2 linked regions of the Caenorhabditis elegans genome follow. The protein of the gene in region 1 interacts with the protein of each later gene in a pairwise test. Each region holds a gene or a part of one and is shown on either strand. Other genes may lie near its edges.

Region 1 (3,929 bases):
GTCGTCGTCTCGAAGCAAATGCTCGAAAAAGAAGGATTTTATATCAAATTTCAGATGGAATTCAGATGGGAAATGAGATGCCTGAAGTAGAAATTCGAACCCAATCTTATGCATTTTCTTCTCCGCGACTTCAAGATTCAATTTTTAATTTTTTTTTGTTGAATTTTTTATTGCTAAAGTTTAAGAAAAGAGGAGTTGAGTTGATTTTTTAAAAATTATTTTTTCCTCGAAGTATATATTTAGTATATATATAATATTCAAATTTGAATATTTTCTGAAAATAAATTAGCTCACCTGTCTTCGAACATCATCATAAACATCTTTTTCATCCATTTCCTCATTTTCTGTCTCTGTTTCAGTTTCAGTCTCTTCATCGTCAGTTTCTTCTACAGTAACCCGCTCAAGAACTGCTTTCCGTGGTTCTCCAAATGATTCTGTCATTTTTCGAATCTCTTCAGCTTCAATTTCTTGTTCCGGTGATTTATTGTAATTTGTTTCTTCTTTTTCATCAAATGATGTTGTCAATTCTGGAGCACTTTCCACCATACGAATGAAATCAGGAGATTCGTTTTTATTTTCCTTGTGTTCTTCAACAGTTTCTACATTCGGTTTATCAATGATTTTTTCTTCTTTCAATACTTCTTCTTCTTTTTCATAATCAAATTCTTCCCGAATCGTCGTATCAGCTTCTGTATCATCATCTTCCTCAATTCTCCGATTCTCTTTCTCCTCTGAGCTTCGATCTTCAAAATCTGCGAATGTACGTCGCGGTGAAAGCAGTGGCGCAGATTTACTGAAACTCATAAAATATTCAAGAGAAAAAAAGAAGAATTGACTCACATTTCCAGATCATCGAGCAATTGTTCTTCGTCTTCTGGTGTAGCAATTGGAGCTCCAAACTCTCGGAACATGATTTGATCTACATTTCCATTGATTCTCATTGGAACAGAGACTGGTGTAGATGGAACTGATGATTGTGACGTGGCAGCAGATGTTGGTAGACTACGGTAGTCTGGACGAGTTACCTGAATAGAAAAACTGATTTGAAATTTTTTTTATAAAAAAAAAACGAGGTTTTTAAAAATCATGTTTCGAAACTAATTTCAAAATAAACTTATTTAAGTCATAAAAGGAAGAGAACATTTAGATTTTCCGAATTTTTTCGGTTTTTAAGCCAACAATTTGGGAATTGTTAAATTTACGAAAAATGTCAACTTTTTGGGTAATTTCGAGTATTGACGTAGGTTCGAAAACTCGATTTTTTAAATAAAAACATTTGAAACACTATTTTTTTAAAAATTGTAAGAACCTTTTTGATCGACTTCTAAAATTATGATAGGTAAAAACTCAATTTTATCACTTTTGACTCTAAATGAAATTTTTTTTTTCGAAAAGTTTTAATATGATACTTGGAGATTTTCCTTAAAAAATAGACACTTCATAATTTTCTCATATCTGATTTTTTTGAAATTACCATCAAATTATTAATTGGGTGAGAAAAGCATTAGAAAAATATCAAATATCTTTTAAAAATCCTAAATTACGATTTTTTTGTTTCCTATTTTTATTAAAGTTAATATAGTTGAATGTATTTGAACTTGAAATACTTCTTCTGAGATAAACAAATTTATTTTTTATAAATTTTTTCGATAAGGAATCCATCTCTATCTTTGTAACTTTTATCAAATTTGGCTATTTACCTGATTCAGAAATGCAAATTTCCTTTCATTGATATTTGCTTTTCCACGTGTTCCATTAATTGGATCAGCCGATGAAGAATCCCCACGTGCTTCACGCAACGCAGTCATCTCCGTCGGAAGTTCCGAAGATGTTGGGAACTTCGTGTGACCCAATGACGACGGCACGATTTTCTGAAACAAAAAAAATTGAAAAGGCGAAAAACTGGCGGTGGCTTCTGGCTCCAAAGGTGAGACAAAAGAGCAGCGGCGGGCTAACACCGGACGGACAAACGGACGGAAAGAGAGTGAGGAAGGAAACAAGGGGGGAATTGGTAGAACAATGTGAGATGGAAAATAGTGTCGAAAAATAGGAGACGCATAGAAGACGAGTCATGTGTGAGTGACTGAGTCATAAGATATTTATATATTGGACATCAATTCTACCAGGACCGTGTCAAAGAATCTCCTAATCTAATTTTTTTTCGATAAATTTATGAGAAATAATATTTAAAAAACAGCTGTATACTCAAAAAATTATCACCCAGACGCGAAATTTTGTGATCTCTAAATGACTCTGAATGACTCTAAAGTAAAAGTGAACAAATTATTTAAAATTAGTTTTTTTTTAAACTGGAATTCAAGCTACCTCGCCAAAATATTAATTATATCATGGGAATAATATGTGAGACATGATAACCGAGATTAAACGGGGAAATAATCGAGATTAATGTTATAATGAATATCTTCTCGTGATCACACCCAGAATGATGAACCTAATTAAAACTGAGCGTAATTTGGAGAAAAGTGGGAGCGAACGCCCGAGTAACTGAATGAACACTCAACTTTTTTCCACAGAATTACTGAATATATTAGTATAATTTTATCGATGTTAACAAGAAAAAATACCACTGCAAAAATTTGCAATGCTTCAAAAGCAATAACCTGTACATAAGACCGTTATAATTTCCCTTTCAATGATATTCTTCTCGAGGCAATGTCTGAAGTATATACTTTATGTACATTGTGAACGAACAGGTTGGATGAATAAACCTGAAAGACACGAATAGACCCAAATACTAAATAATAATGAAGTTAAGTGGTAGTAAATATTTTCAGGAAATTTTCATCGAAATTTTGTGCTCGTTTTTGAAGGATGAGTTGGTTCTACGTTTACTGTTTTATAGACATAAAATGTGCTCACAATCAGATGAACGAATATCGTAAGGAAAATTTTCAGATTGTTTTTAACGGCGGATCAAATTTCGAAAAAATTGCATGATACTGATGTGATACTATTTTTCGCTAAATTTTGCGATTTTTAAGATAAAATTGGTTGCCAGGTCTCGACACGATCGACATCTTTCAAATATTGGACGCGGAAAAACCATGCACCTTTAAAGAGTACAGTATCGCCTTTCTGCTCGTTTTACTACACATTTTCTTCGATTTTTCATTATTTTACTTCTCGCTTTCTCTTATTTTTAAAGGAAAACACTTGAAAACAGAAAAAAAAAACTATTAAAATCGTGGAGAGAAACGCGAGAAAATCGAACTACAGTACTCATTAACGGCGCACAACCCTTTTCGCGACCTTCATTTCCAAAATATTTCAGTCGTGCCGAGACCTGGGACCGTATTTCACATCAAAACTTTCATGCCAGCAAATGTTAGCCACATTACGTAGGAAGCAATGAAAGTAATTTGGACCGAGATATTCGTTAATGAGTCATCCACATTCTATGTTCCTTTTCGAACACATTTCATTGACGTTTTAAGATTTATTTTATTCGAAGACACAAAAATCGGGGTGAGTGGGGGATGGGAACGAAAAAAAATGCGATAAAAATCGAGTTGGGTGGGGGAAAGTGGCGATGGTGATGGGGGTACTGGTTTTTGACAATTTAGGTAGATGACAAAAATCGAAGAGAAAATAGGAAATTTGAAAGCAATATGCGAGGGATAAGAAAAAGAAAATGTTCATAAATCATTCGAATGATTTGTTTTATCCTAGAAAGAATGGGAAGAGGGGATGGAAATCTTTTTTCAGCGGGGAAGAGAGAAGAGGAGATAATATGATGGTGGGAAAGAATTCTCGAGAAAAATTCGAGAAGAGCCCACAGTAAAACGCATGTTTCAAAAGGAAAAATGCTGAAAACTGATACTGTGAGCATTGAAGTTAAACTTTAAAATTTGGCAAATGGAATAATGATTTTTTTCAAAATCTTTTGAAAAATATTTAATATTCCATGT
Region 2 (3,929 bases), on another chromosome or scaffold:
ACAGCTGTTCCCGAACCCGTTGGGAAAGGAAAAGGAAAGAAAGACAAGAAAGCTGCTGAAGAGGTAAATTTATCAACAAAAAACTCTTGTATGTAAATTTCAGGCAATGACAAAAGCTCTCGACGAATGCAAGGCTGTCGTCTTTCTCGAACATATAAGAGCGATGCACGTTGAACTCCGATCCGCTGGAAACTTCCTTCATACCTATCTTGGACAAATGCTGGCACTTGAAGATGAGTACATCCCGAGTAACATTGGAGAAGATCTTGGAGGGGTACGTTAGATATATGATATATTTATACATATATGTAGAGTTTAAACCTAATTTCAACACCTAAATATTTCAGGCTAAAGCTGCATTAGAAGGTATGCATAATCCAGTTGCTTCTCGCCTTCAAAGATCTTTTCTCAATACATGTGAAGATATGCACACAACTATCAAATTAAGATTCTAATTTTTTTGTTTCAGAATATTTAGACGTTGTTTTTTGTTCATCTAGGCTCCTTATTTTTTAGGCTCCTTATTTATTAATTTGTTCTTTTTTTTTTCAAATTTGTAGTAGCTCCCCGAATTGTTTGTCCCCATCTCTAAACATAATCATTTGAGTTCATCATCGTTGGATCTCTACAGATCAATCTTTCGCCTTTTCTTTCTTCCCCCGATGACGTTTTTCTTCCTCCAAAATACCGATTTCAACTGTTTTTATTTCGCCCTCTCACTATGTTCATGTTTTTGAAAGAATAAATTGCTCTCTGACTTTTTTTTTTTTTCTTGCTAACTGTGTCCCCAACCATCCTTTGTCCCCTGTTCCCTCTTCATTCTATTTCAACGAGCGGTCACCGATGTGACCAATAAGCGCAAAGGCACTAAGAAATTGGGAAAATTGAGAGAGGGTTGCGCCATGAAGAGACGCAAAGATTAACACAAGGGCACATTTACCTTTATTCTACCTACATCTATCCCCCAACACAACGGACACTATTTTATATCGGTTGCAGGGCGTGGGGAAAGGTCACCACCAACACTGCCCCAGTCTGATGTGATTCCATCCGGGTTTCGCAAATACTTTTTCAATTTCACGTTATTCAACATTTTTATGATAGAAATTCATTTTGAGCAAATGACATAAACAACATGAGATCATAGTGACAATGTTTTCAAATCCATATATTTTTTCGAGATGATTAAAGGTGGAGTAGTGCCAGTGGGGAAAGTGTTAAAAACTATTCCTATGGTGCCAAAAAGACCGAATATCATAATTAAACCTTTCAAAATTTTTTTTGAAATTTTTTATTTTATGTCAAAGAGTGGCAACTATTATATGTGTATTTAAACAAAATTCCCACTGGCGCTACAGTACTCTGCCTTTAAATGGAGTATTGCCAGTGGGAATTTCTACTCGAAAAGTCCATGAACGAATATCATAATAAAAACTTCGATTAAAAAAAAAAGTTTTGAATAGTTTTAGTAAAGTGACAAATTTTCGTGAAATCTGGAATTTTTTGGACAATTCACTACAATGTTGAAATAGAAATATTCGAAAAATAATTAAAATGTAATATATATGGAAATCTTCTCTGATCAGAAAAGAAAATAACATTTTGGCATTCTTCCAAAATGTGAGAACTTGCCACGTTTTGTCTGGAACATCCCTCATCCCAACTCAAATTGTTCAATTAAAAAGAACGGTGTCATGTCATGAAAAAAGAATTTAAAAGTGCAAACAAAAGAACGATTCATTTTTGTTTTCTTTGTGTTCATCTTCATTTTCTCAGTCTCTCTTTACCTCCTCCGCCTTCCCTGTTATCACTTATCATCTCATCATTTCCTTTACTCAAACATTCACTTTTAGCCTTGTTTCTCTCTTTCTCTCATTCATTTTCCGCTCAGTTTACCCACTTTTTTTGTTTCTGTTACCTGTTACTATTTCTTATCGCGCAAAACAAAAATCGATAATAATTATTGAATTAGTTTTTTTGAAATGAGAGCAAAATTTCAGTCAAAATGAACGGATTACTGCATATGCATGGTCCAGCTGTCAAAAAGCTTTTAGGTTGGAAAATTGGAGAAGACGAAGAAAAATGGTGTGAGAAGGCTGTTGAGGCATTGGTGAAAAAATTAAAAAAGAAAAATAATGGATGTGGTTAGTCAAATATATTTTTTAAAGGAATTTATAATAATTTAGGGAGGGACATTTCTGAAAAAGGGTCTCGACGCGCTTATGAAAGTTTCAAAACTATTTTTGTGATTACCTTTAAATTTACAGTAGAAATATTTGAGCCTCCTTCCTCTTAGTCTAATTTTTCTTACGATTTCTTATGATTTTCATTTTTTTTAACTTGCAAAAAACTATAAAAACAGTAAGAAGAAAGCACCAAAAAACAAACTTAACATTTTCGAATGTATTCGAAAATACTATTGGCGCGGCGAGACCCATCCGAATGTTAAGCATATTGTTACGGATACAATATAATATTATGATTAACATTTTCCGATGACCCTTTTCGATTCATGAATCAAAGTGCACCTTATTTATAAGTTAGATCATAAATATTAAAAAAAAAGAAATTCAACCGATCCATTTCAAATTCTAAATTCCAGGAACCCTCGAAGATCTGGAATGTGTTCTAGCAAACCCATGTACAAACTCAAGATGCATTACGATAGCAAAAAGTTTAGACGGTCGGTTACAGGTATGTGGCGCCGTTGTGGTTGCTTAACGTAAATTTGTTCGCTAATCAGACAACTGTGATAACTTTCAAAAATAACACTTTGGTTTGAAATAACGACTTTTTGACGCCAAACTTCCGGCTTTTCAGGTATCCCATAAGAAAGGTCTTCCACATGTGATTTACTGTCGAGTATGGCGGTGGCCGGATATAAGTTCTCCTCATGTAAGTTAATTGGATATATTAATTTGAAATTTTTGAATGTTCATTTCAGGAATTACGTTCAATTGATACATGCTCCTACCCATATGAATCTAGTTCCAAAACCATGTACATCTGCATTAATCCATATCACTATCAGAGGTTTGTTCTGAAAGTTGTTTAAAATTGGAATACATTTCAAAAATGAATAAAATTCCAGATTATCACGACCACAAGGCTTAAATTCTTCAATGCCATCACCACAACCAATATCATCTCCAAACAGTAAGCGTTGGATCTAAAAATTGTTTAAACATATCAGAATCTTCTATTAAAAAAAAACAACTAAACTCTCTTTAAAATTCTCTAGGGAAATTAAATGAAAAATACATAAAATTGCAGCTATCTGGCAGTCTAGTGGAAGCTCAACGGCATCTTGTGCAAGCTCGCCGAGCCCGTCGGTTTTTTCAGAAGATGGAGGAGAAGTGGTTAGTTTTTTTGCAATACACATTTTTGCAAAAATTATAATTTTCAGCAAGTTCACCAGCGACCTCCACCGTTCCGTCATCCCAAATCCTGGGCCCAAATTACGTATTTTGAGTTGAATTCGAGAGTTGGAGAAGTTTTTAAAGTGAGGTTTTGATTTTTCAAAACAAAACAAAATTGGAGTTTCAGCTAGTGAATCTGAGCATTACAGTCGACGGATATACTAATCCATCAAATTCAAATACAAGGTAAGATTTTGAAAGACATTCGAAAGTAGAAATAAATTGATTTTAAAAGTGAAAAAACCAAAAAATAATTAGTTTTTTTCGATTTCGGTCGGACTTCTAAAAAATGTTCTTACAAAATATAAATATTATTAGTTTGATTTAAATTTCCTCCATTAATACGGTATAATACATATCTTCTCTATAATATTATCATAGTTATTAAAAAGTGGACACTTCGAGTTAATTAACGTGAAAATTGCTGATTCGAAGCTTTAACTTCGAGAAGTTCTGAATAATAATAATTCTTACCGGTTTCTTTATTAAAATAATCCGGAAATTTCAGAA

What was found.
Region 2: the proteins of C17E4.10 (region 1) and sma-3 interact in a two-hybrid assay, tested with the Caenorhabditis elegans proteins (one large-scale study listed by BioGRID).

The regions. Positions count from the first base shown.
Region 1 is NC_003279.8:9,433,344-9,437,272, reverse strand, and holds the start of C17E4.10 (PRKC apoptosis WT1 regulator protein), read right to left. Parts: upstream 1,809-3,929; coding exon 1,701-1,808; intron 1,026-1,700; coding exon 841-1,025; intron 794-840; coding exon 295-793; intron 1-294.
Region 2 is NC_003281.10:6,862,040-6,865,968, reverse strand, and holds the start of sma-3 (Dwarfin sma-3), read left to right. Parts: upstream 1-2,000; 5' UTR 2,001-2,005; coding exon 2,006-2,144; intron 2,145-2,602; coding exon 2,603-2,694; intron 2,695-2,820; coding exon 2,821-2,895; intron 2,896-2,944; coding exon 2,945-3,033; intron 3,034-3,091; coding exon 3,092-3,156; intron 3,157-3,273; coding exon 3,274-3,359; intron 3,360-3,406; coding exon 3,407-3,502; intron 3,503-3,546; coding exon 3,547-3,605; intron 3,606-3,927; coding exon 3,928-3,929. Other genes in the region: cra-1 (N-terminal acetyltransferase B complex subunit NAA25 homolog), read left to right, coding at 1-63, 104-274, 348-455. UniProt on the Caenorhabditis elegans protein: Involved in TGF-beta pathway. Plays a role in male tail tip morphogenesis.